Linked DNA regions of Struthio camelus. The protein of the gene in region 1 purifies or fractionates together with the protein of each later gene. This does not show direct contact. Links are inferred from orthologs where the notes say so. Each region holds a gene or a part of one and is shown on either strand. Other genes may lie near its edges.

Evidence for each region.
Region 2: the proteins of FBXO45 (region 1) and MYCBP2 purify together in Homo sapiens (affinity purification with western blotting; 7 studies listed by BioGRID and IntAct, with this or other methods). This does not show direct contact. The link is inferred for Struthio camelus from reciprocal best matches to the Homo sapiens genes FBXO45 and MYCBP2.

Annotation. Positions count from the first base shown.
Region 1 is NC_090950.1:2,490,432-2,506,193, forward strand, and holds FBXO45 (F-box/SPRY domain-containing protein 1), read left to right. Parts: upstream 1-9,937; coding exon 9,938-10,207; intron 10,208-10,398; coding exon 10,399-10,755; intron 10,756-12,794; coding exon 12,795-12,980; 3' UTR 12,981-15,453; downstream 15,454-15,762. Other genes in the region: WDR53 (WD repeat-containing protein 53), read right to left, coding at 3,371-3,958, 6,871-7,347. UniProt on the Homo sapiens protein: Component of E3 ubiquitin ligase complex consisting of FBXO45, MYCBP2 and SKP1. Functions in substrate recognition but also plays an important role in assembly of the complex.
Region 2 is NC_090942.1:176,666,308-176,682,532, forward strand, and holds the start of MYCBP2 (E3 ubiquitin-protein ligase MYCBP2), read left to right. Parts: upstream 1-8,718; 5' UTR 8,719-8,909; coding exon 8,910-9,214; intron 9,215-16,225. UniProt on the Homo sapiens protein: Atypical E3 ubiquitin-protein ligase which specifically mediates ubiquitination of threonine and serine residues on target proteins, instead of ubiquitinating lysine residues.

The DNA.
Region 1 (15,762 bases):
TCTACTATGCTTTTTACTTTGTCTTTCTGACCCAATTCCTTTTGACTGTAGCCTTGTCTATACTACATGTTGGTTACAGAAGCCAGAAAAGAGAAGGGAACTAAAGAGTAAAAGCTCAAGTCTTGAAGCCTAAGTCTCTACACTGGGGGATTCTCCTCAGCTGAGATCTGTTGGTATAAAATAACACTATGTAGAGCAAAGAAGTGGCACAGAAGTTTGTTGTATTCTGAAGTGTAAATTGTCATGTCTGGAGAAAAGATCATCTTTGTTACCGCACCACTGCTGTTACAGTGGAGACCTGGTCTTTGACTACAGTATTTTCATAATTTGAATATATAGGCAAATATCAATATCTGAAACATTAATTTCATAGACAGAAGTACTGCATTTCATCAGCAATGATAATATTGATGGACAGTAATCATTTTTACTACACATAAACTAGATTTACATGTATGTCACCTAAGTTGACACACGCATTTCTTGCTATTTGCACAGTACCTTCAAAGACAGTGAATTTTCATATATGTGTGAATACTGAAAGGGAACAGTGTCTTGCCTGTCTCTGATAACTGGAGAATTTCAGACCCTTTTTCAACTCTTTCCTTCTTCCTGAAGAGCAGTGGTCATTGCATTAGAAAAGTCGTCTGTCAGTGCAAGTGGCTTGCATTCGATCCTTCTATCTACCTAGCTGCTTAGCGACACGGTCTGCTGGTGACTGTAATGTCACGCTGCAGCTGAACGTGTGGACTGATAGCAGTAGGGGCAGCATGTGTCAGGTTATTTTTACATGAAGCCAACGAACCTGTTGGTCAAGTATTTTTGCAAGCCTCTTCTGGGTACAGACTTTGAAAATGGAAGGTGAATCAGCATCACCTATGTCCCAGTTCCTCAGTGACAGTGATTTTGTTTCTTAGAACATATCTTTAAAAAAAATAGATGATCTTTCTTAACTATAGCTGCTTACTTCCTATCTTTGAACCCTCTAGATTCTCAGCTGTTTGTCCAAATTCAGAAATTCAGCACGAATCTCAGCACAAATCATGTAGAACTGCACCATAGCAGAGTGTGAACTAGAACTTCCCTTTACCCATAGGTGCTTGGCAACACTTCAAGAAGCCATAGGTCTTTGCTGATCAAGCAATTGCACAGAACCTTGTAGCAAAACACGTGGGGCTAGCAGCTTGCAAGCTGTCCAGAATGGCATTCATGAAGTGGTGCAGCGTGTTGCTTTGTCCCCGTCCGCTCTCAAATGAATAAGAGAGAAAGAGAAGATCGCTCATGAACTGCTCCCTTTCCATATACACACAATATATATTTATATTCTCTTTATTTCCCATGAAAAATTCCAAGGGAAGTAAAAGTTCATGTTGCTAACAGACCACTACAGGATAGTCTTGTCTTTTCCCCCCCTGCCCCATCCCGTACCTCCTTTTTCCGGAAAAGGATTGTCCTTTCTTGCCCCTTAATGTATTATTAAAACAACCCTTTAATAACCTGTTTAATGTCTTGTTCAGGGAGCGCAGAGACACGCCGTCTTTAGTCATCTTCATGGAAAACAAGAAGAGAAGAAATAAAGCTGGAATAGGCTTGCACTCTCCTGAAGCAGTCAGCAACAACATGCACAGGGGATCTGATTCCTGCTGGAGGTTGTTTTGCACTGAGGCTTTTTATAGCCTGCACATCTAAATATAGTTCATAGATGCACAGACACATGTTCATGAACATATTACATAGTGAATTATGCATTTGGATCACTTCCTCTGACCAAGTGATCCTGTCTGTCTTCATGTATAAGATGAATTTGAAGGTGATGTGGAAGGGGATATCTACACTATGCTGGTTTCTAATGTGTTTAGGCTTTATTTTGCTGTAGTGCCTATCACTTCTTGTCTTGGGCCAAAGCCTCCTGGTATTAGAGACTGCATAAGCAAATTTCTTTTTAAGTAAAATTAGATTTGGATGAGAATGACAAGTTGTACTGGCTTGCTGGGAATTACTTCTGACAATGAAGTACAGCAAAAACAAGGCTGTTTGTTAGAATGTCTTCCATAATGGTTGAACAGCCAGTGCTACTGGCTAATTATTTGCAGGAGCTGGGTACACAAAGGCCTGGAAATTTGTTCCATCAAAAATAAAAAAAAGGTAGGTAACGTGTGACTGGTAACATAAATACTGAAGACAGCACACAGACAAATGAATTAAAACAGCAATTTAACCAGTACAACGCATTCACTCTTTGCCTGTAAGAAGCTCAGGACAGCCTGAGAAAATAAGCTTTTTTTCTTTTAATTATCTGCCCATTGCATGGGAAATTTAGCATGAATTAAGCATGTCAAGATCTGAGGCATTCCCACTTTTTACATTTTTCCTGCCTTTAACTTGCAAATTAAGAAGCATTTCTAACAAGCCATAAGGGCCTAATGCTACTTGTTGTATTTAGAACAGCTTTGTGAAACAATGGAAGTATTTGGGTAAGGAAGAGCAGTGCATTTGGCCCTTTCCATTTACTCTGTGATGACTATAAAATCTACTTTGTGGTACAATTTTGCTTAGCCCGTAAGATTGGTAATACCAGCGTGAGCATGAGCTCAAGGGTGCAGTGAAAGATCAAGCATTTATTGAGACAAATGCAATAGTTATTTTTCTCTCCTGGAGTAAATAACATTTTTGAAAGCAAATTACATGTGTAAGATGACTGACCAAGTAAACACTTGTTAACATTTTCTCCAGTTCCTTTGCTTACAGGGTGAAAAAAAATCCAACTGACAGTGACTGTTACAGGGATTTGATTACTCATTAGAGAAGTTAATTTACAAATGTGTTTTTAGTCTTAAAGGCACCCACTGACAAATTAACGAAAAATACACTGTGTCCAATTTAAGCTAACTGTGACACAGTTTAATAGGGAAGGTAAAGTAAAGCACTGAAATAGTTCAGACTCCCTGTACAAATGCAAGGAGCTCAGCCAGTTACATCTTTATTACTGCTCAGCATCCTAATTTAGTATTGTGGGTTTCCCTGTTGAAGTGAATTTCTTCCTCCAATCTTAATTATATCCGGTCAGTTTTGAACTAATATTTTCCCAAATCTATTGAAACCAGTTTCACTTAAATTTAAGACGCAAATTGCCAACTCTACCAGAAAATTTTGAGGTGAATACTAGCCACTGGAAAATACCATGCAAGGTCAGTTAACATCATAAGTATTTGCATGAAATAACACAGCAAATCTCTTGCCATTCCTGAGGCTACAGGAGGTTTCATTGTTCAGTTCACTGTCAGCAGATGTAGCTGACAGTTTGAAACTGTCATTTCAAACACCCTAGGAAATGATTCTTCACCACAAATTTCCTTAAACATTTCAGCACCTAGGCTTCTGGTAATGGATACACAGATATAGAACTACTCTGATCAGCAACTAATACTCTCTTAGAGCCTTTGATCTCTGTACAGGAGATCCAGTTCACCTTCTCTCCATGTTCAATGGTTAGCTTTGGTAAAATTCTAGCATGTTCATTTGAAACCATTTTGTTGGGCTTTCCCTCTTTTTTGGTGGAAGTAGGTGCTTGGGCCTTCTTTCTCTGGAGAGATTTTGCCGGGCTTTTCTGTTGTTTCCCAACACCACTGCTGACATCCCAGAGCAAGACTTTCCCGTCATTTCCTCCAGTCAGCAGCCAATATGCTTCTGGCATAAAAAGGACCTGTGACACTCCCAAACTGTGACCTTTAAATCCTAACTCATGTTCAAACTTAACACCGGTGACCCTGAAGATTCTGACTTTACCATCTTGAGCTCCACAACCAAAGATGTTGCCACATGATGCGACAGACAGGGAATGTGCAAGTGGCGGGTTAAGGAAGTGGCCAGCTGTCTGTGGATTGGCTTCATCCATTTCACAGTCCTGCAAGTTTGTGGTGCACAGTGGACGAGCCTTCTGCAGGTTCCACAGCATAACCTTAAAAAAATTAAGAATTAATGGTCTGTCAACGCAGCGTCTGATTCCTAAGTAAAATCAGATTTTTTCACTAATGGTAAAAGAAATAAGTTATTGCTCTAGCAGATCAAAGACTCTGTACTGAGAGGGCAAGAGATGCAAGATCTGTTGTGAGAAGTGGTTGAACCCCACTGGATAAATAAAGCAAATCTTTATGGCACACTTTCCAAACTGTCACATGCCTTTCCCAATAGAGTTAATGACTCAAACCTTTAGAATGTGAAATGAGTGAAAAAGCTGTTCTAAATGCTTTTGCATTCATCTCAGTAGTAGAAATCATTATATATGGTACTTCTTAATTATTTAAAGAGAAGGGACACAAAAACGTTATCAGTGAATGAAGAGAGCTGTATCATTCTGAATTTTAGGTCTGTCTCTGTTACATACTTGTTCTAAGATAATCAATTAACTTGTTTGAAAAATGAAGCAGCAAAAGGCTAACAGTAGTTCATTCCCTCAATTCTGTACAAATATATGTGTGTCTTTTATAGACAATGGGCAGATCTAGTTGGTGTTATTACTGTATTAGGGCTGAGCACACTTTTCCTGATAAGATATGGAGCTGATGGAGGGGGTTTTAGACTTCCTTTTAAAATGCCACACCACCTTCAGGACCCTCCTGAGGCAATAACTGTGCCTTCAAATGCGCCCTGTGTCTGTTATACAGGTATTCAAGTATTATAGATTTATACTGCATCAGTTAAAACATGACCAGTCATTATTTACAAAAATTACAAATATTATTTATAATAATCTGAATTGATGATTAGCATTTTTAGAACCAACAGATATGGAAGCATAAGTCAGTCTTTAATGCATCATTGATGTACTGTTTGCTTTTCTAATGAGAGTTTTGATCTGTCATTAATAAACATATTCTACCACTAGGCATCTGTAACAGCACTTTTACTTTAGTACCCAAGTCTTTAAATTGGGGCCACAAAAAGAGTCATTCTGGATCTGAATTTACAGAAGCCAAATTACATAGACACATCCAAAATATATTAGTTATTTGCTGTCATTTTTGTGTTTGAGCACTCACTGTTGCAGCTACGGTAAAACTGCTTTGCTCCTAACGAAAGGGAAAACATTCCATGATGACTCGGCAGCATAGAGCAAATTAGAGAGGCCGGGTCTAATGCTTAAGGCAAACAGTCCCATTCTCATCTTTGATAGCGCTGCAAGAGCTTTAGCAAATACATCTGGATTAAGTGGTAAAGCACCCAAACAGTAACAAGCTTTCTGAAAAGCAAGTATCTTACTTATTACAGCTCAGCTTCTCTGTGAAATGGTATATCCTAAAGACAGCCTTGATGTCTGTAGAAATGCTCTTTTCATTGTACAAAAATGCTCATAAATGTCTACTATTTTGGGGGTACTGACTTTCACGTAAAACCTAATTTGCCTATAGTAAAACACACTACAACTAAAAATGTCACAGAAAATAACTAGTTTTCTCACGCTGAAATCTGATATAAATGATTAAAATTCTGATAAAAAGTTTCTAGCCATAGGCTTGTGAATTGGCACGTAGGGTACCTGAAAATACATAACCATTTTAAGGTGCCAAGCATTTACTGCTCTCAAACTGATATTTTGGTATCTCTGAAAAAGAAGTTTCCCAAAGTACTTCATTTAAGATTCTATATCCATCTTTTAGCCAACTGTGTTTGAAGATCTGTCAAAGTCAAAATTTGGAAAACTTCTATTAATCAGCCTCTATTCAACTATATCTACTTACTGAATTTATATAAACCCTGGTCTTAATATGGAAAAATATCACCTATATCAAAATGCATTCACCCTAACTGATGTCAGAGGTACTTTAGTTTTAAGAACACAGGATGAAATTGCTTACAGCTGTCAAAGAAAAATCCATCTTTAACACCACTAAAATCACGGAAACCTTTGGAGAACTGGTAGTTCTAATCTCAGGTATTTTTCTTCTATTGGACACCTTAAGAGGAATCCGTAAAACGGTGTTCTGAAACAGAGAAGACTGCTTATGTCTTTGCAATATTGCATTCTCATCAGATGGAAACTGGATTTTGCAGTGCTTGGTGGTCTCCAGTGAACTGTGCAGACAAGAAGGGGAAAAACAACACCCAAGCATTTCCCCACTCTACAACAGGAAAGTGGTCACACGTCAACCACGGGGAAGTAATTACAAAAAAAAATCTGCTTTGGGTGATATTGGGTGCCAACTTTGACAGTGTAACTCAACATTCCACTAACTCTAGCATGGTTCAGTGTTTCTTCTAAAAATGCTCTTTAGGAGCACGCAAATGACAAAATTTCCACTTGAGGAAGGTAAAAAGGAAAAGTACATTTAACACTTTCAAGATGATACTGTGAACAAAGGATAAAAAATAAATTTATAAAAATAACTTTAATCCTTACAGTGGTACATACCACTTGGATAGATATTTATCTATCTATATTAAAGTATTCTTGCTAGCACCTTGTCAGCTTCAAGTATTTTGCATTTTCCTAACTACCATCAAAATTTTGTTTGCAGCCGTAATTGATCGCTAGAGACAGCCTGTGTTTTTGCTCTGTGAAACAGAGAGGTGATGCAGTTGCCCCATCTTCTGATGCCCTCCCCCTCACTTCTATATTGTAACTATTAATGAAGACAAAAATCGCAAGACTAACTGCTGAGCAGAAAACAGCATTAATAGTCTCAACACTGTTAGCTTCTCTGCCAAAACTACTTTAGGAAAGTTAAAGAGCTTTCCACTGGCTGCAGGCTGTACGACTCTCCCTCTTGTTCTGTGGAAGTGTGGTGAAAGTGTGTTGGGGCCTCACTACACACACGTGTAGTTTCTGTTTAGCTTCTCTAATAACCATATGTCTACTTTTATGCAAATCACCTGCATGTCCAGTCCACAGGAAAGAAGGCTTTGTGGCCTCTGAGGTCGAAAGACAACAGAGGAGCAGATATTTGAGTGTCTCAAGGACCGGCTGACTTTCTTGTTTTCTAAGTCTATAATCTTTATTGTCCCAGAATCATCTGCTGCAGCCAAGAAATTGTCAGTCTCGTTCACTGAAAGGCAACTGATCTCCTCCTCGTTCACTTGGAAGCATTCAGTAGGCTCCTTAAGAGATCGAACATCCAGCAAACTGATAGTTTCTCCATGGGAAGTGTACAGCCTGGTAGGACAGGTGGGAGAGAACACAACAGAGGTAACATCATCTGCCTTACAAAGCTGGAGCTGTCCTACTGGAATGCCTTTTCCATCCCAGATGGTGAGCTCGCCTCTTTCTGCTCCTGAAGCTACCAGCCCTTCCTTGTTTATGTTCAGGCACAGTATAGAGGAGGAATGCCCATCAGTCCATTTGACTGCCATATTTCAGGGCCACCTGTGAAACAAACAAACGGAAAACTGAATTGAGCTGGAGTTGTTCTCATTACGATGTAAAGCTTACCTAAGAAGTGAGATTATTGGGTTGACTCAGTCACACACACCAGATGAAACTCTAGTGTCCAGTGAAAACAGACACCTCTATAGGTAAGTACCCAGGTGGAAGCTTTGGCTCAAGCATTATCAACAGACTACATCAGCAACAACATAATGGGTTGGTAGAAGTGATCGCATATGTGCTTGTGAAGGACATGAATTAGATCTGCTGCTCTGAAGTAGCTACCTAAGTGGGGGTTGCTTTCTCTGCCATTTCTTTGCAGTGAATATGGATATAGTGTGTCTGACGAACTAGGGGCACAGTTTCAAGGGGGGCTTACTGGAAAGGAGAAAGGGGAAGATTGTTACAGTTTGCAGAGAAGTCCTACTGTTCCAGTCTGTGTGAGGGCAACCACATATGAACATACCTTTTATCCAGGTATGGATATGCTAGATAATCAATATCCAACATTAATTTGTAAAGCAACCTTGTAATACCTGGAGTAAAAAAACTTGTGCTGGTGAAAGGGGGATAAACTGATTAATGCTGAAGTGACTACTTTAATTATGGTTTAAAAGCATACATTAGTATGAATAAATTTTAAACTGTTTTGCATGTGTACTTCGTGTTCCCAAACTGAAGTTAATTCTCACTTGACTGGTAAACACTAAAGCATATTTGCCTAAACAGACATACAGTAACACAAGGTGTGTTTGAAAAAAATATCAGCAGTTTAACAAAAGTAGTTACACTGTTTACTGCACATTTACTAGGGTCTTAAAGCAGCATACATTCAGCTTACTGTGCTCCTGGCCCTTTCCTGTGCACTAGCCCATGATAAGACAGTTTAGGGAGCCATGCCAGCAGAAAATGAAATGGGGCGGGGGGAAGGAGGAAGGGAGGGAGAAAAGCAACACAAAAACACAGCAGGTTTGAGCTTGCTTAGCTCCCTGAACCAGCTCACAAGGGCAAAGGAGAGCTAGTACCTGTGCAAGGGAGTAGACACAACATGGGGTTTGCAGGATGGAACTACGGCTGGATGCCAGTGAGCTTAAGTTACCATAGAGCATACTGTAACATTTACCTTTTTATTACATCAGAAAGCAATGAGTGAAGTACTCCTTTTTGTACTATGCTACTTTTTTTGTGTATGTAATTTTTATTCAGCTGGATTTGAAGAGTAGTTAAAATTGATTCTATCCACCGACAGAATTTCAATCTTCTTGATTAAATGAAATTACCCAAAGTGCCAGCTATGTTGTTAGCAAATGATGTTCCTGTATTCAGGAAGTTGAGAAAATTATTTCTGGTTACCCTCTCCCACACTGTGGGACCTAGTACATCTCACTGATATATCTAGTTTCTGGCTTTACAGGAAGAAAACCTTCTCCCAGTTGGTTTCTCAGCTTTTGAATAAACGAGTTATTGAAATAGAATTAGCTCATAATACAGTTAAAAATATGTTTGTATGGCTAGATAAAAGTACTGCTGTCAGTGGCTGTTCCACTGTTACAAGAAACTCTGCTTGCAGTTGCTTACACAGCAAGTTTAGTAAGTTAAAGTTTCAACAGTAAATACTGTGCTCACTGATTCTCTAACTCAATGCTTTTAATTATTTTAGGCCATTAATATAGGTTGACTGCTTAAAGGTAATACATTTTAAAAGGTGTATTTGAATCCAATGCCAGTCCTATTTATTTTAATGCAGTTGTATTCGTGTAGGGGCTCGCAGGGTTCCTGTACTACCAAGTCTGACACCCTGACACTGCCACAAGCAGAAGGAAAGAAAAACGGGGGGGGGGGGGGGCTGTAACCAGAACGAAGGAAGGAGCGTAGAGAGGAAACACCGGAGGATGCTGGGGAAACGCCAAGTCAGGGCAAGCGGAACGACGGGCAGCTGGGCGAGCCGCAGTGCCCGCGGCACGGGGGCGCGCCCCGCCTCGCCTCACCTCACCTCACCTCAGGGGCAACGGCCCCCGCGGCCGCGCGCAGGGCCGCACGGAGAGCGCGTCACGGCCAGACCGAGGGACTCAGAGCGCGGTCTTATTTTAAAAGCCGCCGGCTGGCGTTTCCAGTCACAGAAACTGCGGCGCTCTGCCTCGCGGTGCGGGAAAAGCCACCGGCCGGGCGCGGCCGCGCCGCCCCCAACCGCCGCGCAGGCCTCGCAGCCCCTTCCGCGCGGCGCCCTCACCTCCACCGGCCGCTCCCGCGCCCCGCCCCGCCCCGCGCATGCGCGGCCGCGGCCTCCGGCGGCGCTGCCCGCAGCCGTTATGGCGGCGCCGAGCGCGCGCGTCCCCTCCCCGTGAGGCCTGTGGCGGCGGCGGCGGCGGCAGAGCGGGGCGGGCGCTGGCGGCCGGCGCGCCTGCGGCCCGGGGCCCGCCGCCGCGCTCCGCCGCCCGCCCGCGCTTGCGGCCAGCGAAGCGGGGCGAGCCCGTCGTTTCCCGCCCCCTGCCCCGCGCTGTCGGCTCGCGCGAGGCCGGCCGGCGCGGCGCGGCCCTCGAGCCCCGGGCCCGGCGGGGGGCGCCGCCGCCTGAGGCGATGGCGGCGGGCGGCGCGGGCGGCGGCGGCGCGGCGGCGGCGCTGGCGGGGGGAGCGGGGTGGCGGCTGCCGGGGCGGGTGCTGGAGCTGGTGTTCTCCTACCTGGAGCTGCGGGAGCTGCGGAGCTGCGCCCTGGTCTGCAAGCTGTGGCACCGCGTCCTCCACGGCGACGAGAACAGCGAGGTGTGGCGCAGCCTGGCGGCCCGCTGCCTGGCGGAGGAGGCGCTGCGCACCGACATCCTCTGCAACGTGCCCACCTACAAGGGCAAGGTGGGTCGGCGGGGGAGCCGCGGGGCCTCCGCGGCCTGGGCTGGGCTGCGGGCCGTTGTGCGCCCCGCGTTAGGAGCCGGGCGGGGGGCGGGGGGGAAGACGGTCGATATTGCCCTGCCAGCGGCACCGCTAGAAGGGTTTGGATTGTCCCTTCCTGCCTGAACGCCCTCTCCCTTCCCCTTCTCTGCTAGGTACGTGCCTTTCACCACGCCTTTAGCACCAACGATTGCTCCAGGAACGTCTACATCAAGAAGAACGGCTTCACTTTGCACCGCAACCCCATCGCTCAGAGCACGGATGGGGCAAGGACCAAGATCGGCTTCAGCGAGGGCCGCCACGCGTGGGAAGTGTGGTGGGAGGGCCCGCTGGGCACCGTGGCTGTCATCGGCATTGCCACGAAGCGGGCTGCCATGCAGTGCCAGGGCTACGTGGCACTACTGGGGAGCGATGACCAGAGCTGGGGCTGGAATTTGGTGGACAATAATTTACTGCATAATGGAGAAGTGAACGGCAGTTTCCCTCAGTGCAATAACGCACCGAAATACCAGGTGGGTGAGACTTGGCGCAGGCTGGGAGCTTTACTGTCTCGAACAGCAGCTGTCCTCCAAGAATTTCTTCATAGCATGTAGTAGTTAGCTGCTTGCTGAATTGGTCTTAAGTGGTCATCTAGAGCAAAACGGTCCCTGCAGGAGGTAAATGATGGTGCCGTACAAGGGGTTTCCCCCTTAATGTTTCCTTCGATTATGTCTGTGTGTAATGTTCAGTACAACTCATTCTCTGTTGTTTCCCCTACTGAAGACAACAAATAAACTTTTATTTCAAATATGAAGTGAGGAACACACACTATGGGTGCTTATCTAAAGACAATTGCTTTTTGAAAAAGAAGCTGACGAGGCCATTCTGGCTATCTTAAGTAAAGATTTTGCCTGTCAGTGATATGACTGTGTGTGTGGTAGCTGTGTTATCTTTTTGTTACCCTGCAGTGGGAGTTGAAGTTAGTGCTTAGGTAAGAGTTTTCCTGCAAGAAAATGCAGTAATGCCGAGTGCTGTTTGTTTGCTCCCTGGCACTGTTCCTAAAGGTGACATCTTTAGGCTGGGATGTGATGTTCAGATAAATAGATGTTATTAAAGAGGAAGTGCCATTCTGTCTTTTTGTCCATATCAAAGTGGTTTACCTTTGCTCTCTTGGCCATCTGCACGATGGTTTGACTGCTAGATTTCCTCACGTTACAACTTCAGCCATGCGCAGTATAATGCCTGACTCATAATATCGAAGGTTTTGTACGAATGTTGACTCCAAAGCAGCTTGTATTTCAGTTGTGGGTGAAGATTTGCTTAGGAACTTGTATCTGATGTTCCTAAATTTCACATAAAGGCTCGCTGCCAAGCACTTGATCTGATTTGGTCTGAAGCTTGTACCTGCCATTTTTGCAAACAAAACCTAAAATGAGTGTTTTTAAAGAGATTTAGTTTGCTTTCTATTTGCATGTTTTTTAACATGCAAGTGCACTTTCCAGACTTGACCGTTTGTGGTCATTTTCTGCTGTCTGTATCTAGGCCTTTATGCAGCCACAGGGCAAGAAAAAGTTTTAGAGCCAGGAGAACTCTCATGTGGACTCGAGGGAGAACAGGTCTTGCACTTGCTTTTTTCTTTTTAAAAGTTGGTTAGAGCTCAGATTGGTGATCCTTTAAAGTACTTTATATGCAGTAAAACAAGCACAGTGAGCTGCTTGTATATAATACACTAAAAGTAACTATATGTTTGCTGGTGTTGGAAGAAAAATGTGTTGTTTTGAAGAAAATGCCAACGTTGCAGTTGGCTTGTGGAGAATCAGAAGTTTGTGCTGTATCATGTTGTGCTTGCTGCTGGTGTCTGTGACTTACCTTTACATTTGAAAAATATGTAGTAGGTGAATGCTGGGAGCATTGTGTATGTTGTGATCTGATTATCTTACTGCATTCAGTGTTCTTTTCATTCGTGTGTATATATATATTTAGGTTTTTCATACTTAATTTACCTAGGCTTTGCACTGTAATTTCTTTCTGCCCTTTCTACCAAGGAATCCCTCTGACGATGACAGTACTTGTATAGTCAGTAAAATATTCTGGTATAGTTTGTATGTTGCGCTTACCTGTTTTTAAACAGGTTCATTGTCTTTTAAAATTGCTCAGCACGGACATTACTGGTCAGTGATAGCAACCAAATGCAGGGTTTGGGTAACTTTGGGTGGAGGCCGTTACAAAACTTCCCCAAGCTGCAGAATTCTGAAGTAAATGGCATATGTTATGCTAACTCTCAGTGCTATTGTGATGTTCTGATGCAAAGGGCTACGTTTGTTACTCTGGTGGTTAGATATAGGTTGCCTATTGGAAACTGCCAGTACAGATGCTCAGAATCTTACGTGTATCAGTGAAATGGAGAAGTTCCACGGAAAAAGTAGTGCAATCTTGAGAAACAGGAAAACCTCCCTTTGAGGTGATCTGCTGTACTGTACACGGGCTTTGCTTTATTTTTCATGTCTCTATTTGAATATGTTGACTTTTTCTTTTGTTTTATTTTTCTTCCTCTTCTTATTTCTGTTTCCAGATAGGTGAAAGGATTCGAGTTATCCTGGACATGGAAGACAAAACGTTAGCGTTTGAGAGGGGCTATGAGTTTTTGGGAGTTGCATTCAGAGGACTGCCAAAAGTTTGCCTGTATCCAGCAGTGTCTGCTGTGTATGGTAACACGGAAGTGACTTTGGTGTACCTGGGAAAACCTCTGGATGGATGATGTGGATTGTTTCATTGGGACATCAAGATGTGAATGATTCGGAGGAGAAATCTGCACGTTGATTAGAGGGAAAAGTGAACTAGAAAAAAAAAAAGTGTGGGTTTGTGTCCAAGAACCATCAAGGAAACCATACAGAATTTTGAAATGGAGGACCAGCCATACTTCAGGAATTGTGTCACATTTCCTCTTTCTACCAGGCCAGACATATCCTCAGGGTTGCAGTTGGTTGAGTGGGAAGCTGACACATGCATGTTGCAACAGATTTCATTGCTGAGATGGCAGTGTGTGACCTCAAATATTTAAGGAAGGATTTGATATAAAACTACTTGAGGAAATTAACCTGAGATTTGTAAGTAGCGTGTTTTGTGAAAGACTCCCATTTTAAAACTGCTTGTTCCTTCCCTTCCTTCCTTTGGGCTGGCACAGGTACCAGAGGAGAGTAGGTCTAGTTGGATTTTATTTACAGTTTTTAATATACTGAGAAGCATGGTCTATCTGGACTGCCCTTCTCCAGTAGAATGATATAAAATGTGTGCAGCTATTTTTAAGTGTATTTTAAAGGTTGTATATATAGAACATGTTGAAAAGAACAATTAAAACGGAAGAATTTGCTTTATTCTAACTGGGATATAACTTCTTAAAGGGGGGAAAAAAAAACCCCACTACGTGGCATCAGAAAAACCTCAGACAGGTATATAACATTCATGTAAGGATACTTCTTCTGTTGTATTGTGAAGCATTTTGGGATGCTCTTGTGGAGTAAGGTGCTACATTGGCCCATTTTTGCCTAGCTGAAAGTTTCCATAGCTTTAGCAGTATATTTGTTCTCTGTAAGAAACACAAGAAAATTTCACTATGAGTTTCTTCTCGCCAAAATTTGTGGTCCCTTTTAAGAGTGAAAGGTACAACACTGTAATGAGCTGATCTTCCTTTTGACACCAAAAAATACATATTTTTAAAAGAAATCTTACGCTTTCTAATCACTGTTGTAAAATGAGACTTTCAAAATGATGAAAAATCCACATTCAGCTTCTGAGCTGAGATCTTATTTTCAATTTAATCAGTTTCATAAGGATTTAAGACTTGACTTAACCTAACTTAATTTTGCTTCTTTAGTTAAATAAAATCCCAAGTATTCATCTGCCCATTTTCAGTCAGGACTATTAAAATTCTCACTTCCCTCTGGAGATTCTGGATCAGGTTCAGCATTTGGGATTTTCATTTGCACTGTTTCTCTAAAAACTTCTTACAAAACCAACTGATATGTCAGTGTTACGGCATTCAGCAAGTAGGCTGAAAAGGCTGTGAAGCTTAAGGGTATAGTAAAGAGGTACTTTTTGGTGAAACAGCATTCCTTTGAGGTTGAAAGGTCTGTGGAGATATGGATGTTTGTCAGCCTTCACGCAAAGAAAGCTAATTTAGCCCCCGAAGTGGGTTTCCTTTTAATAGGGCACTGAAATCTGTAAGGCCTGTGGTTAGTTTTTGACTCTCATTTCTTGTTGTTGGTGTTTCTCCAAGTTCAATAGAACTATCTGAACTGTTTCAGAATTACTGATGGCGTGTTTTTTAGGGAGGGAGAAGGAAATGTTTATGCAACCTCTTTTTGTTTTATCTATGCTAGAGAATGTGAATTGCTTAATATCAAACACTGATAAATCTCTGAGTGCAGGAGAGAAGGGAATTTCTCTTAGGTTGCTCATTTTTTCCCCATTACTCAAGTAATGTAAGGAAAGTGGTACAAGCAGATGACTGGGATTCTTAGTCTGCTGCTGAAGAACTACACTTGGGGTGCTTTTTACCTAACAGATAGTGAAGTTCTGCACTGGAGCAGAGTATGTACATTATTACCATTTTAAAGGATTTTAAAGTATTTATTTATGTGTAGTTTATTCCTTAAAGGCAATATCTGCTGAGATCAGTTTCTCTTGTCTGTGTTCAAAAAAGTAAATACACAGGAAGAAATGAAGATGTTTTAAATGGTACTGAGAACAACTAAATAAATGAAGTGAGACTGGTATATGAGTACCTTTTGGAAAAATCTGTTTAAAATGTTGATGTCTGTAGACCGTAAAGTATGTATCTACATAGCAGAACCTGGTGGCATGAGGTAGGAAAAAAGGAAGCAAAACCCTGTCCCATAACAGAGAAGAAAATAATCTCTTAGGTGAATGTATTCTTCGTGCAGTCTTGAAAAACACGACCTCTGCACTTGCTAATGAATCCGAGTACATGTAAATAAAACCCTGAGAACTTCTGAGGGGTTTAATTTGTGAATAAAGATTTCTTTCCAGTCTTCAAATTGTGTCTTACCCTATAAATAATTTCCCTCTAAATTAGAAATGGTGGAAGCTAAACATTCCTTCCTTAAGGGTGGGTTTGGGGGGGGCTCACTTATGTAAGATTAAATTTATTACTGGAGACCAATGCTAGCTGTACAAAATATTAAAATAAACTGCTATAATTCAGAAGGAAATATTTGTGTGATTGTTGTAATGACATTCATGATGTATTGATAGGAAAAATGGAGTAGTAATTTGGTGTGTCAAAACAAATTCTTACCATCAAGAAGATGAAGGTGTTACTGTGTGATTTGCTGCATGAGTGTTCACAAGGAGAGAATCTGGCTAATGGTTATGAGGACTTAAACTCAGTAGTCTAATAACAGTCCTTATGAAATTACATTTTCTGAAACAGGAATGCTCCTGTGTGACAGGAGGGGGAGGGGTAAGAGCTAGCAGCTGGAGGTATCTTGATTCAAATTACCTATCATGAGTTTGCACTA
Region 2 (16,225 bases), on another chromosome or scaffold:
TGTTGGAGACTTTCTAAAGAAGTTCACAGTTCTCAACAGTGCTGCTTATAAAGTCTCATTTTTGTTCAAGGGGACTGAGACACTCTCCTCTTACCCATTACTGAGTTCTCTATATGGCTTCCTTTTTTATATATATAATCAACAAATTACAACATATTAAGAATTTGTCTTTCTAGGCAGGTTGAGAAACATCTTTTGACAGCTGCTAACATAACACTGCAAAGTTCCTAACCTGTCCTGATCAAATTCCAGACATCTTTGTAGCGAAGAAATCAAACATAATCGTCGTGGCTCTCTGCATCCAAGCATAAAAGCTGCAGCACTATCCTCTGAAACTTATCTTGTTTGCTGGCATGTATGTTTGTGTATGATAGGCTCTGGGACGTATAAGAATATGAAAGATCTGCCTCTTTAAAACCGTTCCAAGTTGAGAATAATATTCAGCTCTACTGAACAGTAATAACAGTTCAGATCTGTCAGCTCAATTGACTGAGTATTCGACTACCAGTGCCAAATTCAAAGATAGTGTTCTATTCCAGTGCTGCTTGCAACAGTGGGAGTATCTGGGAGTATCATGAGTTGGTATATTGTTTGGGCCAAAGTAACATGCCTTGCTACTCAGAATAGTAACAGTCATAGGAGTGTGTCATCTTGGTGGTACAAGAAGTAATTAGAGCTGCTTGAGTTCAATTCCTAATTTCACTCTTTTCGGGGTATATTTTTCATTTAATTCCTGCATGTTTCTTGTAGTTTGCTAGCTTAGTGCACTGTGACACCATTTTATTTTCTTGTTAGAACTTGTAATGCAAGATACAAATGTGCTTGGGTTACTGAAATCCACACTTTCCCTGAGTTTGACAGTAAGAGAGAAAGAAACATGTCTTAGGCTGTTAACCGTATTTCCTCAAATTAATTCACTAGTTACACTAGAAGGTGCTGAAATATGACGTGCCTGGAATAAATTCAGTGTTGATGTCCTTGCACCAGTGAGCCACCAGCCTCGTGACTATGGTGCGCTTAGAAATATGAGACACTGAAGGAGTGACCAGTCAAAATTCACCCTGACTCATATACTCAGTTTGAACTAAGGGTTTCTCTTTCTTAAAACGTGTGAACAAGGGGGCTGTGACTGTTTTTTTTCCCTCCTCACATCTCAGGCACAGCTGTAATGTATTTAAGCAGTCTGCGCAAAATAGAACAACTTCAGCAAGAAATGAGAGAAAAATCACCACCATAACCTCCCCTTTAAGGTGACCAGAAGAGTTTTGAGGAAATGGAAGATATGGTTTAGAATATGGAAAATCTGTTTTCAAATCTATCTGTAGTAAGCATTAACATTAAACTAATCTTATGGAGCTAGACCACTTTCCTTGTGTGCTGCTACAAATGCCTGGAAAAGAAAATATTATTTTTGGGTTAAAAACATAATTTTCTTTTTTCATGGAGGTGAGAGAAATTGAAAAGCTCTCCCCACCTAATGTGAACGGATTCTTCTCTTGCACAGCTACTAAGCTGCAAAATCACATAGCCTTAGTTTGACGTATCTGTGTGTGTCTGTGCCTGTGTTGGAAGGAGGATGAGAGAAAAATTGCATCAATTTCACTCACTACTTGGTCTCCTGATTGGGCTGGAAAATAATCAAAAATGAGTCTAGCTAACAGAATTCAGTCACCCAGTACCAGGGCAGCTTATTTCTTAACTTTATGTTAAACTATCACCTCTATGAAGTAATTCACCGAAAGGCGGAGCACAATGCCTAAGCTCTATGGCAAAACACTGTGCCGGTAATGGTAATTATCCACATGTAACTTGATATACCTTCTGCAAAACACGTGAGTGATGAAAATAGTGTTGTTTTCCCCCTGCCCCTCCCTCCTTTGAATCAATACAGCTATGCATAAAAGTAACTTTTGCAAACTCACAGTTTGTAGTCTTTTCCCTCTAAAGCGATAGTCAGCATTATTTTAAGTAGCAGCTTGAAGTGTCTCTCTCTTGTTTGTTTGTCCGATATTACGGTAACGTCACCAGGCTGTGCTGCTAGTAATTCAAGTGTGTGTGATGGCATATGTGAGCCCATTCCCTGTATGCAGGAAAGTGTTCTGTCTTGCTTGGATTTATATGTTATCCAAGGAGAGAGGTCTGTCTGAACACCAAATAAGGTGCCATCTGAAGGACTAGTCAGGGAGGATAAATACAACATTTCACAGGCATACTCTTGAGTGGCACAATTAATTTGGGGATTCTATGGACTTGGGGGTGGCGTGTTTTTTAAGTCTTTTGTTTATTGCCTAATAAGCCACACAAGTTAATTTGGTAGTATTATATAAGGAGTTACTTCGCAATGGAAATAACCTTCCTTCAGTGGACCTAAGCCCGCTGTAAACAGAGAGAGGTAAACAGAGAGAAGTCAGTTCACAAGTCTGGGCAGTGAATTTGATGTATTATTAAACATGATAGCAGTCTTATAGGTGAGGATCTGTGCCCTATTTGCTTTGCAAACAGACTAGCAAAAAAAAAAGAATAGGGAACGGAAGAGGTGTGCTTCATATCAGAGACAAAAAAATAGAAGAAAATTGTATCTATAGATGTCAAACCATGTTAAGTCATAACATCTGAGACTTCACAGTCCTCAGAGGTGGTGTCTCCATGTAAATCATGCTACAGCTCTAAGAAAAAGTAAATAAAGGAAAAGAAAGCTTAAGTATAAGGTACAAAAATAATAGAATTTGGATTAATCTATACTGAAGAATGATCCGAGGGAAATGCTCTAAAGCAAAGCCTTCAAAACTGTCACAGGCACAGCCCCTGATGCTTCTAAACATAGGTAGGAGAGCAAAGACGTTCACAGAACAAGAATTTGGGGGAGGAAAGAGGGTAAAGTAAATAAACTCCTTGTTTTGAGTTGGAGGAATGGGATTGAGAAGGGGTAAGGAGAGGGGAAGCCAGCTGGATCCTAGATTCATTCCATACCCTATTAAGTCAGTAACAAGCCTCCAGAACAAAGATCCACCTCCTAATATACTACGAACATGTTACTAAAGCATATGAGAAACTACACTACCTCATGGTAGAATTAGCAAAATCCATACACTTGGATGCAGGCCATTTAGCATGGTAAGCTGTAGAGAGCATCCCATAAATAATGGCTGAGTAGGCTTTGGCCAAACACTTTCAAATATGTCAAAACACAAGTTGAAAGAGAAGTAGTGGGCTGCCTATTTGCTTTTGGTTTAACTGTTTATAATCTGCTCCCAGAAGTGTCAGGAATTGCCCTTGTTCTAGGGACCATCTGAAATGTGTTAACCCAGGGTTATTCTACTCAAGTAGAATAAAAGTTAAAAACACACCTATGGATGTGGAAATTTCTCACTGGCTGATTTAGTGATGTATATTGGTAAGGAAATCATCTCTCAATTGATTAATGTAGTAGTCTTTAGTACTTATAAGCCAATGAGGCAAAAAGCCTCCAAGAATAAAGTAGCTGGTGCAACAACGGGTATACGCATAATGCTCATTCATGGTCTAGTGACTGCAATGTGATGATTCAGATGTAGAAAGTGTGTGTTGTTTGACCTTACAGCTGAGAAGGTTGACTGAGCTACTCATATAATCAAAATCCTGTGAGTCTGTGTGTTTAAAAGAACCAAAATTAAAAGATTTAATTTAATTTATAATTGCTCAAGAAAATTATTTAAAGTAACTTACACTGTTAGTAAAAGTATGTCTGCATATAGATGTGTGGCATTTTAAGCAGTTGTACCCTATAACACTTTTTTGCTGTAACATCCTTTCACCTTCCTATCTAGACTTCCAAAACTTCCACTGACAAGTGAAAGTCCTACATATATCCCTGGCTCCCTGGCTCCCTGAGAATTTGAGATTCATGAATTTGAGATTGACCTATTTTATCCATTTGAGAAGACTCAATAATATCATTTCAGTCTTGTGTGAAAACATAATAGAAGGGGATATATAATCTTATCCCACTATTCTTTCTGGGATACTTAAGGTTATTGTTAGCAGATTAACTTGTTTGAGATGTTAAAAGAATTTTTTTCTCCCAAGCCAATAGAATGCAGGTGTGTTCTGTATCTTGTACAGGATGCAAGATTTACAGTCCCCACTGAAATGTTCCTCACATAGCTTCTGGCAGGACACTGGACTTCACCTAAGTGTTCTTTCTAATCCGTGTATCTATGGTAGGACTTCTGAATGGGATTAAATCTTACTCTGTATTCTATTTCCTTATCCTATACAACATGCTAATAAATTATTCCATGGGATCTAATCCCAACTACTCTTATTTACTGTAATGCTAGTCCTATCACCATGTTACAAGTAAAATGTTGGGGCATTTTTTGGGGGGGTGGGGGTGGGAGGGGTGATCTCACTACTGCACCTGAGGGAAGTCACTACCTTAACTTCAAGACTTGATATATATGGTACGTTATAAAACGTTTAAGACGATAGCTTTTACGCTGCAGGATTTTTTTGCATACTTTTAAGTGAGTTTCAAAGAAAAAAATTTAAAGAAAGGAATGTAGTGAATTAAAGGATAAACATCAGCAAAATAGAAAGTAAAAAAAGACAGACGTTGGAGAAGGGAGCTTTTGGACAGAAGGCTCTGTGGAATCTGTGACAGCCAGCATTCAAAATAAAAATGGTCATTTTTTTCCCCTTTAGCAGGTGTCTGTAATTAAGTTTAGGAAAACTTGACTTGTAAAATACATGAGCAAATACAGATATGAGGATTTGCTAAACTGGTTTTGAACATCTCAGTTTTATTTTTGTTTATATGTGCTTCATATAGACATTAAACATTGGGAAGTGTTAGAAGGTGTCACTGTTGGACCTGGAAAATAATCAGGTAGACAGGTACAAGCATCTCCATTGTAGGAATGGATAAGAAAGCATTTTCTCTAATGCGGAGAGAGCACAGTCCTACCCTGTCCTCTTTATAAATAATCTATTATTTATAATAATTTAATACATTAATTATAATTAATTATAAAAGGCACAGGATAGGAGCTATGTTGTAAAGTTCTTTTTTTCCTTTAAATATAATAAAATCTCAAAATAAATGCTGGCATTTAAAATATAAAAAGTTGTATATTTGTGAGCAAAATGATAAAACGGACTTTAGTTTTGTTGAAACTACAAAATGAAAAACGGTCCCTTTAACTAATCACATTAGCAGTGGAGCTGTAGGACTAGGTACTTAAACTTAGGTATCTCTTACCATGTCTTGTCTGCTTCACAAGACATCTTGATAATGACAGAACTTTAGTGACCAACAATTTTCTTTTTCACTGTTATTAGTTTAAGTCCCCATTCCTGGAGAAAATCTGAGAGCAAGAGGTAGCTGCTGCAGGTGAACAAAGAACTCTAAATAATAACCTGATTGTAGTAAATTGCAAGTTCTAGTGCAGAAGTGCTGAATTCTGTTCTTCACAACTCTCCCTGACTGCAGTTAACTATCTAGTTTACATATGTTGAAGTTATCTTATTCCAGACTCTGCTTGCTTTTGAAGAAATTACTATATTGTTTTTTTATGAGATTTTCAAAGTCTACACAACCAAGGCCTAGAAATATAATTCAAAAGTGAAAGGGTGAGATGCTGAAATCTTGGATGTTTGCCCTTTACATGCCATGATGTAGGAGAGGGGAGCTTTTGAATTACGTCAGAAATTCTTGTTCTGCTGTGTAGAAACTCATGTTAATACAACACTGATCAGTGTGAGCGGTGACAGTGAACGTGACCGGCCATCAGATTCTGACTCTGAAGGACTTCCGAACAATCTGTTCCTCTAAAACTAACTTATGAAGGTACGAAGTGGAGGCATTGAACTGCTAGAAACCCCACCTCAAGGCAAAAGGAAGAAGCTGACTGGAAAAGTATTTCATTCTGTAACAGCAAGCAGCAGATGATAGCAAAAAAGGAGGAGATGATTATTGTCAGAAGCAAGCACTTAATGCAAAGCACTTAATGGTTATTTTCATTTGACGGAAGTCATGTTTTGGCGGTACAATAAATTTATCTTTTAGGCATCTACTGCTGTATCAGATCTCCTGCACCTACATAAAGCAAAGGGCTAATCTGATGCACTTCGATTAACCAAAACTACCCTACTAGTTGTTTTAAACAAATATAAATCTGTAATCATTTCATCCCAGCTGCAGAAGTACTGGCAATACCAGTTCTGGGATAAAGCTGATCCAGATGTGTACTGTTGACTGTTTTTACATTGCATGGATCTGGTATTACCCAAATCAGTCTCAGAGAAAGAACATGAAATGTGAGTACTGTACCTCACACTTTAAAAAAAAAAGAGGAAGAGGAGAAAAAAAAGGGGGGGAGGGGCAAAGCACGTTCCTCATTGGAAGAACAAAAAAAGTGAAAATATTGCTGTGTTCCACAATAGCCTCACTAGGTGTCAATCATTTTTGTATTGCAAAAGCAAAAAGAGCTTGGAGATGGATGTATGGATGACCCAGAGTTACTCTTCCTCGGCAAACGCCAGCTGTATTGTCAAACATTATTGCTCATCATAGGCTGAAACTTAAAGGAGGACTGTACTCTGATCCTATGGATACTTAAAAAGATTCCTCCCCTAAAAAGCAAAAATACTTGAGATGAAAAACACACGTATAATAGTAGTTGCAGCTTGCAAAGAATACTGTTTGCCACACTGTGTGCAGCTCTGTACAACACAAGCCCAGACAACTTCTGGAGTTTGAAGCAATAAGCAAGAATTGCAATCAATTGCATCACTTCATAAAAGTGTGCCGGCGCTCTGCTTTTATGGCGCACACATTAAGAGAGCTACAATAACAGCATTAGTGCCGAAGAAGCATTCTGAGAGGACAATGCTACAGCAGAAGATAGCCAGCCAGCGCACACTTGGTGAGGGAAGAATTACTATTTGGATGTGAGAGAGGCAGCAGCTACAAGAACACCCCCAAATGATCTGAAACTTGCCTAACAGGAATGATTTTAGGTAGCTGCTGAAAGAGGTGCTAGAAACACTTAATAATTCCCAGAAGCAATACAATTTTTTGGTAGTTACCACCAGATGACATGCAGCATGGTTTCTTGTGGCTCCTCGTCTCACTGCTGGATTATCCTTTTCTGGTCTTTTTTTTATACACTACACTGTAAGAATTATGATTGAAGACTTTTTATGTAGTTAGTATTTTAATACCTCTCTTTGGCTGGACCCTGGTGCCTCTATCTGCATTTAGGCAGTAGCTTTTTCTTCAGTGATGGCACTAATTTGGCTGTCTCTCTGCTTCCTGGACAGCTGCCTTTTAGAAAACTTGTATGAATTCATTACTTTTGACATTCCATTTCTCTGCAAAGAGTACTTGAAATTTGGCTGGACTGTGTAATTATTGGTGGGCTATATGCAAGTTTAAAAAATGACACGTAATTCACCTGTATTTGCTGTTACGCAGGAAGGAAGTGTTGGAGAAAATATTTCTCTGTATTCAGCATCTACATCTTGCCAGGCTTTTTAGGCCCTCTTTTCAAAAGAGAAAATATGATAGCATGCATCTTCTTTGGCTGGTAGTTTTTCTGCAGACTGCAATCCAACCTGCATTTGGCATGCAGACTTAAAAACAGTATTTTTTTGTTTGCCCCCTTTTTTTTTGAAGTGTGCTGTCATCTGTACAGCTGAAGTTTTCAGCTCAGTACTGCCGTAGAAGGTGCGACCAACAGCTTCGAGCAGCAATGAAGGAGCAGGGACACAGGCGGCAGGGCTAAGATTAACATGGATGAAGAGCGAAATAGAAGACGAAGGGAATGCAAGAAGGTAGTCTAGAATTAAGAAGAACGTATAGGAAGATAGAGTAAAAGCATCTTGGAGCCAGCAAAGACAGCTTAAGGAAATTGAGGCCTAATGTAGCAATTGAATTATACAAGAGTGTATAAATCAGAAAAAGAGTGTTGTTCCTCGAAGGGGTCCCGGTCAGGCAGTGGACACAAAGCAGTCGCTGGCGGAGCAGGGCTCAGCTGCTGCGGCCACGCACCTGAGCGGCACGCGGCTGCCGCCCCGGCGCGGGGGCCTCGTGGCTAGGCCGCGAGGGCCACGGCTGCTGAGGTGGGGAGCGCGTGCCTCCTGCCCAAATACCGCGCGATGCCCAAGTAAAAGACAGAGCCCCTCTCCCCCCCTTTCAACACCCAGGGACGACAGCCGGGATGGGGGGGGCGAGGAGGCGCTGGGCCCGCCGGGCTGTGAAACGAACCCCCCGAGCGGCGCTGGCCTCGCCGTCCTCCGCCGCTAACGGCGGCACAGGCGCTCGCTAAGGCGGCGGGAGCTGCCGCGGCTGGGGGGGGGGGAGGGAAGCGCCAACGGCCGCCGGGCGGGCGGCGGCTCAAGCCAGCGCAGCAGGTGCCAGCGCCTGCCCGGCCCCGGATTTCCCGGGGGCCGCGCGGGGGGAGGAGGGGCGGGGCCGCACTGCGCATGCGCCCTCCGCCCCGCCTGGCACACGGCGGGAGGTGGGGCCGTGGCGGCGGCTGTGCGGCGGCGCTGACGAGAAACTCCGGCGGGGAAGCGGCAGCCGCTGGCCTCCGCCCCCTGCAGCGGGAGGAAGAAGCGAGCGGCCGCCTCCATCTCCTCCTCCTCCTCCCCCCCACCCCGGCCCCGCAGACGCGCGGTTCGGCCCGGCCTCCGGCGGGAGGGGGCCGCGGCCGGCTGTGCGCCCGGGGCGGGGCCCCAGAGCCGCGGCTGAGGGGAGGAGAGGGGGTACTCCCGCGCCCCCGGCCCCAGCCCGGGTGGATGAGCGGCCTCGAGGGCGGCGGCGGCCTCTCCATGGCTGGGCTCCGGCGGTGAAGGCAGCGGGAGCCGCCTGTGTCCGTGTCTCGCCGGGAGGCAACTTAGCCACCAGGGGGCGGGTGGGGAGGGGGATGAGCGCTGCAGCCGCCGCCGCCTCCTCCTCCTCCTCCTCTGCGGGAGCCGCCGTCGCCGCCTGCACCGGGGGCGAAGGCGGCTTCTTCTTCTTTTCCAGCGGCTCTGGTGCGGCGGGGCCCATGGGGCCCGAAGAGGGCTGTGGCGGCGGGCTTGGAGCCCTGCCTGGAGCCCTGGCGCCGCCGTCGCTGGGCTGCCGGGGCCGCTACCAGCTGCTGCTTTCGGGGAAGGCCCTGGCCGAAAGATACCGGAAGATTTACACGGCGGCGCTGAGCGACAGGGAGCTGGGGAGTCACCCGGGCAGGTAACGTGTGCCGATCTCCCTCCCGGGCGAGAGGGATGCGGCCGCTCCTACCCCGGGCTGGGGGAAGACCCTGCCGCCGGTGCCTCTCCCGTCTCCTGCCCTTCCTTGCCCTCCTCCGCTTCCCTGACATGCGGCGCAATGGCCTCTGCTGGGGATAACGTGGCCTTGGAAGGGGGGGGAGGGAGGGAGGGAGGGGGTGGTGATGTAACCCCGCTGCTCTCCGGGTACCATCCCCTGGCTGCCGCCGAGGCCCTGCCACTAGTTTGGCTGGCGGTGCCGTGCAGATGGCGCTGCCAACCCGTCCCCCCCCCCCCCCCCCCCGGCCAGTGCAGCAGTTACCTGTGCTTGTTTCCCCTCCCCCACCGCCGAGACTTGGGGCTAGATCACGCCCTTTTCGTGAAAGATAACCGTGTAAACTCCGCTCCTCCCATCCCTTTGCGGCCACCAAGGTAATAATTCATTTCCTCATAGTTTCCATGTTGAAATCCCGGGTAAACAACTAGCCCTATGGCCAGGCCTTGAGTCTCGCTGCTGTCAGGGTCTGGCGTGGCAAGTCTGAATCTTATGTTTTCTATTGAGACCTTTTGCTGCCTCCTTTGCACAGCACCTGCGTGTCCTCCTAGTGGGGCCATCCAAGTAAGCGGTCTTGCTGTTTTGCCTTATGTCAGAACAGCCTCTACCTGTCTCGCCTTATTCCTTGCGGTGATCTCCTCCTCTGCCCCCGTGTCGGCAGCCTAGGTATCCTCCAGCCTGCATGTCTTGCTACCCTGTGTCTGGAGAGGGACCACATCCCAGCTGTAGGCAGCTTTTTCCCCGGGTAGGAGGCGGGGGTGGGGGGGGAGAAAGGGTGTGTCATCCCTCCCCCTTCCCAGGACCTCAGACGGATGATGCACCCAGGGACTGCCTTTCTCACAAGCAGCTGCCCCGTCCTGCTTGCCAGTTTTCACCCTCCTCCATCCTCAGGCCTGAACAGGACCCGCAGGACCGTGCGGGTGCTTTTCCCCAGGGCTGCCTCGCTGCCTTCCCCCCGCCGGCCGTGACACGCTGGCTATCCCAGCGCAGCCCCAGCTGGGAGCCTGCCGCTTAAGGCTTTGCCGGAGAATCCCCCTGCCTCGCCGGCGGGGAGGAGGCCGCCGCAGGGGCGAAGGCGACAGCGAGGCGGGCGGCGGCGATAAAGGGCCGCCCGGCACGTGCTGGCGGGAGGGGCGGGGGCGCCCGGCGCGAGCCGCCTCCCTCCCCCCTCCTTCCCCCCCCCCCCCCCCGCCGCCGCCTAGGCGGCCGTTAGCGGGTGCCGCGCGCGGCCGAGGCGGCGGCCGTTGGCCCGCGGGGCCCGGCAGGCCGTTAACCCGCGGCGCGTGCAGCGCCCCGCCCAGGGCGGCGCTCCCGGGCCGTGGGGGGGGGGGGGTCGGCAAGGGGAAGGCGCCGGGCCGCGGGCTTGGCGGACGCTGAGTGACGGAGTGAAACGCGGCGCTGAGGGCGGGGTGAGGGGCTCGCAGCAGGAGCCCTGTCGCGGCGGCCGCTTTGTATGAGGGGGCCGACGGGTGGTGCTGCCTTGAGCCCTTTGGGGCTCGTCCCCCCCTCCGTGAGCGGTGCTCGAGTGCTCCCCGTTGTTTTCCTCTGGGGTTTGTTGAGGGCGTGGATGACATGAAAAGAGCACGTTCCCGTGTTTGCATCCTTTACTGGTATTAAGCTGTGGTGTGGGTGCCCTAGTCCCAGTATGAGTATTAAGTCACCGTTATTTGAAGTTTGCAAATGGTTGTAAAGCACTGGGTGGTTGTGGGGGGGAGGGGTTCTATTTTTTTCTTACTTTCTCCTTCTAGTTTCTTATATTATTTTACTCCTGCATGTATCCTTCTTGGTGGAGCAAATAACCCGTGTTATTCAAGTCACTCTGGAGAGAAAGGAACTTTCTCGTTTTGCTTTTCGCAAACGCAAAAAAAAGTGGACTTTTCAAACACAGGCATGTGGCATCTTTGCAATTACCTGATTCTGTTCAGAGTATGTGATAGGGAAACTAATTTCTTTGATTCGGTGCTTGTAAGAGTTTCCTTACTCTTATAATCTGTAGTTCAGTGCTCATACTTTTTTCTCTTAACTGCTCTTTTCCTACTCGGAGTCCTGTATTATGTAATCCTGCTACTGCAAACACTAAATGTAAGGAAACTTAAGCTTTAATCAACCGTGTGGTTTGTTCTAAGGTGTTCAGACATTTATCTGAACTTTACTTGTCTATATATTTTTTTAAAGTTTTGGATTTGTTGTGTTCTCGGTGTTTTTTTTTTGGTTTCAGGATAATTTAACTTGTATCTTTTCTACTTAACTGTTGTGGAAAATACTAGCTTTGAGTGTGTGTCAATTTTGATGTTTCTTTTAATTGACGTTCTTAAAACATTTGCCTCCAGGATAGCGTAGATTGCATTCTTCTTGGATCTGTTTGTTACTGAAACATTGTTATGGGAATGTCAACTAGAGTTGAAAGAGTGAAATTCAAAATTACTATATATCTTTCTTTTTGAAGGCTAGACTTCATCATATCTTGGCTACATTGTGTCATCTTAGAGCAGATCAAAGAAGCCAGAATCCTCTACAGAGGGAAAACAGAATATAGCAAGTGAAGAACAGCTAGTTTATGTTTGTGAATGTAGCCAGTCTGGACTGTTGAACTTCTAAGAGGATTAATATTTAATAATCAAATAGTTGTCCAATATCTCTTGATACTGACCTCCAAAGTCTATTGTATCATACTTTCTAAAGAGATGCTTTCAAGTAATTTGTGATTGCATCTAGGTATCACAGTAGATAACAATATCAGATGGATTAATTCAAGATTAAGACACTATAGGTTATAACATGCATCTTGATTTGGTTTTTGTCTAGGTGGAAAATTGAAGCCTCTAAAGCTCTCGTTAACAATGTTTGTGACTAGAAAAATATCTTGAAGTAGCTTAAAAATTAACTAATAAAATTCTTCCTGTGTTCAGAGGAAACTCTGTTTTGAGGAATGATAGTGTAACCTGTTTGTAGTATGTTGACACAGAGTTTTTGCTTCAAGCATGCAAAGTAACATTCCACCCTTACAATGGTGTGACCAATGCTTCAGGGAGCACTTTATCACAAACCTGACCTTGATTTTTATGAAGAACTAGAAAGCAGTATCAAAATGCCCATGCATAGACAAGGAAAATTAAACGTTGTGGGGATTACTTAGTGTCACATGTAAGATTAATTTCACATTTACAGAGTGTTTGTTTGAAAGTAGTAAGTATTACGTGTTGAATGGGATGTAACCATTGGCTTTAACAAAGAAGTAACAATGCTTTGCGTCCCTTATGTGGTACAGGCCATGATGTCATGAACACTTTTGTCTTTAAAAGAAACAGTTCCGTTCCTATGCTTGTTCCCCGCTCTGTGCTGATGTACTTATGTATGTAGCCTCTTGCAGTACCAGGTTAGAGACCTACTCTGGGTTAAAATTAACCCAGCAAACATGGTTTGTTTTAATCCAGATTAATTCCCCAATCTGGCTCACCTTGCAATTTTACCTGTGCTTGTGACAGCACGAGGGGAAGGGTTGCCCAGGAATTTATGTAGACAGGTGGGATGAGAGAAGCTGCTGCTTTTGTCACTAGTGTCAGCTTAATATGTTTATGAAAGGAAAGCAGAAAACAGTATCTGATCTTCTCATGTACAACCATCTTCGGTCAGATGACAACTTTAGGAGTATATTATAGTACTATTAACTGTTCAAAATTTGCTTGTCGAGATTTTTTTGAAAGATAAATCTAATTTGATTATACTTAATTTGTGATCTGTTTTGTGGCTGCTGAAGTAATTGAAAATGACTGGTAGTTGCATAATAGCTGGTATAGCCATGAAGGTCTGTAAAACACCAGCAGAAGGTATGAGCTCTGTTTAGAGGGCAAGTAAAACTTCATGTTATTGGAGTATTGTGTTTCTCCTGTGCTTGGTATTGAGTAGATGAAACTGCAAGTCTGCTCTATTGAAGCTAATCAAAGACAGATAACCATGTATTTTTAATGTTGAAAGTTGCTCATAGCTCAAAGAAGAAGGTCTCTCTCTCTCTCTTGTGCGCGCATAGTTCTGATATTTCTTATACTTATTACTAAAGATAATGCCGTCCTGCTGATAGTCTTCAAGTTCTTAATTTGTTCTTTACAAGAAGTTTGCTAGAAACGTGCTATCAATTATTTTAAAAATAGTAACCATTTAAAAATACAAATGATTTCTCTGGGTTACCTTTTTTGCCCATCCCTTCTTTATTAGACTTGCCTCTTTTAGTTTAAATTCTTCACAGGAGGAAAAACTTCTATCTGTATTCTGGGAAAAAACAAATCCAAAGTTGTGAAGTGGCTTGCCTTGAGAACAGGGAAAATTCCAGTGACGACTGGAATGTAGGATTTCTGCTATTGACCTTCTGCTTGTTTTTTCCAGCCATTTTGGCTGAAGAAGAAGCAGCCAACTTCTTCATACTTGGTGATAAAGGGAATTTTTGGAGGTAGGCCAACTCATCTGCACTCTTAGTGGTAAATTATGCATCTATTGGGGCAAACTGATCTCTAATTTAATGTTTATGCATTTCAGAGTTGACCCTAAATCTTCCCTTTGCTGAAAAATGCAGTATTGATTTGGCCCCGGAATGTTTTTAATGTTTACTTTTCGGAATTTCATTGGAGAAGGGCTACTGAACTACTTTTGCACTGCCAAGTTAATAAAAAAAATTTGTAGAAACAGTGTTTTGTGTTTAGATGTGTGAAGTTTGTGTTGATTTGGTTGTTAGTATACCAGAAAGCCTTAATTTCTTAAGATCTGCAGCCTTTACAAAGCTGTTAGCTGTTTTTGGTTTGAAATTTGCATTTTTTAAATGAAACTATAATTCCAGAAAACTTGGAAGCTTTTGTTTGAAAAGCTGAAGGTTATGTGTAAAGACTAATAAAATAAGGAGATGTTAGTGCTTCTTATGAAGTATTGTGTGTTGCATTGCCTCTCTCTTTATTTTTCTAAAATAAGATTTGCTGCTCTGTTTTTTTTTTTAATTCTAATGTTTTATAAACATTGTTTTACAAAAAAGAAGTTGAAGTTAGTCCGTGTGTAAACTTAAAACTATATTTTGTTGGACAATTGATGTGCTGTTGGGTCCTACATTAAGCTAACTTATGCTTCAGAAAAGACGATAAGAGTTGCTGTCTGCTTTAGACTTTTTGTTTGGAATATAATAGTATTTTGCTTGTTATTTAATCCCTGTTAACCCATAGCACAATAAACTATTAATCTCGTGCGTTTTAGTTATTTGTCAGTTTTTTCGTAGCTTTTATTTTAAAGGCACTGTAGTAGACACTTAGACTAAGTCTAACAGGGTTTCTATTCATGCGGTGTTAGCATAGAAAAAAACAGTTATAATGAAAGCTGGAAAGAAGCAAGTAAACTGCAAAATTATTAATAAATCAAGGAAATAGAATTCAGGATGGAAAACTGGGGCAAAAGTTTTTTAGATGTTTTTAAAAGGACAAACTGAGTTCTCATCATGAAATTGCTTGGAGAGGCTTAAGATATATGTCATTTGAGAAATTAGAAAACATGGAATCCATGAGGGGAGCATTCAGATTTTGTGGGTTGCTGGAAATGAACCTTCTTTTCATGAATACAGAGGTGGAAGTCTCATTAGAAGTCTAGTGATGCTAAAAGACACCTTTATCATCTTGTGTAGTCATTCATTCTTCTGTTTCTTATTTAGCAGGACAGTGTGCAGTTTAGGAAGGAATTAGTACATATGATGGAATCACGCTTTGTGTCTTTGTTGTTTACTAAATCATATATGAAGCTTTTGCCTTTCAGTCACAAGTTTGACTATAGGCTATGGCTAAAATTGAACAGAAGCTCCAGAAGGGCTGTCAAACTGGTCTTTTTAGCTAAGGGGGTGTGGTTGTAGGTCAAGTACCAGCAGCTATTATATACTGTTAATTACATTACATGACTATATACTGTTAATTAATGACATTCGGGATCTTTACTTGTGGAGAAAGAAAACAATTAGGTGCAGAACATATCAGTTTGTTACCGAATTATTTGTATCGGTACCCTGACCATTTCACTATAATGTCTTGATTATTGTTGGTTAAGCCTTTTTTAGTGTTTTAGTAATATGGTAATTACCTCCGGAAGTGTCTTTCTAGCGTGACAACTAATGATGGTGGTAGATTGCTGCATCTTTTCCTACTCCCGTTACTGGCTCTTGAGTTGCAGCTTTGGCATTTGTGTAGATACTTTTCAAGCATGGATATGCACTTATGTCATTTTCCTTTATTGCTAGATGAATCCTTGATGTTTGTCAATCTCTTGATGTTGTTGCCACCTTTAAGGATCTTGCTGGCTTAGCATGCTCTGAAGTACTGCGTTTAATGTGCCTTAAACTTTGAGATGGTTTGTCCTTTATAAATATTGGGTTTGGGATTATTGACGGGGATGTTTTTGTGACTGATTGTAGGCGTTAGGGTCTGTACAGTGTCAAAGTTTTCAGCTATGGCAACACATCTTGCTCAAGCATTAGCGTTATATTAGCTCTATATGAGCTCACTTTGCATGAATTTTATTTTCTCTGTAGATAACAAAATGTCCTCTTTTCCACTTTAAACAAACAGATTTTTGCCTGAGTATTCTACTGAAGTTCACAAGAATTTGGAATTTTAATATGCAAACATAAGAAAATACAACTTTTAAGTGGGATGGAAGGAGAGGAACTGGCATATTAGATTTGCAACAGTTGTGATTTACTGTTTTCTTAATATTTTAACCTGTGATTGATTTTTCTAATTTATTTCAAGATGAGCCACACCTGGCAAGTCAAGGAATAGTCAAGAGTTATTTTGCTTAATTGAAATTGGACTTACCTTTAAAAAAAATTTAAGTAATGAGAGTTCTATTGGCAGTTTTAATATGAGGGCCAATATTCTATTCTCAGTAATCTTCAGACTTTCTAAGCTACATGGCCCTGGG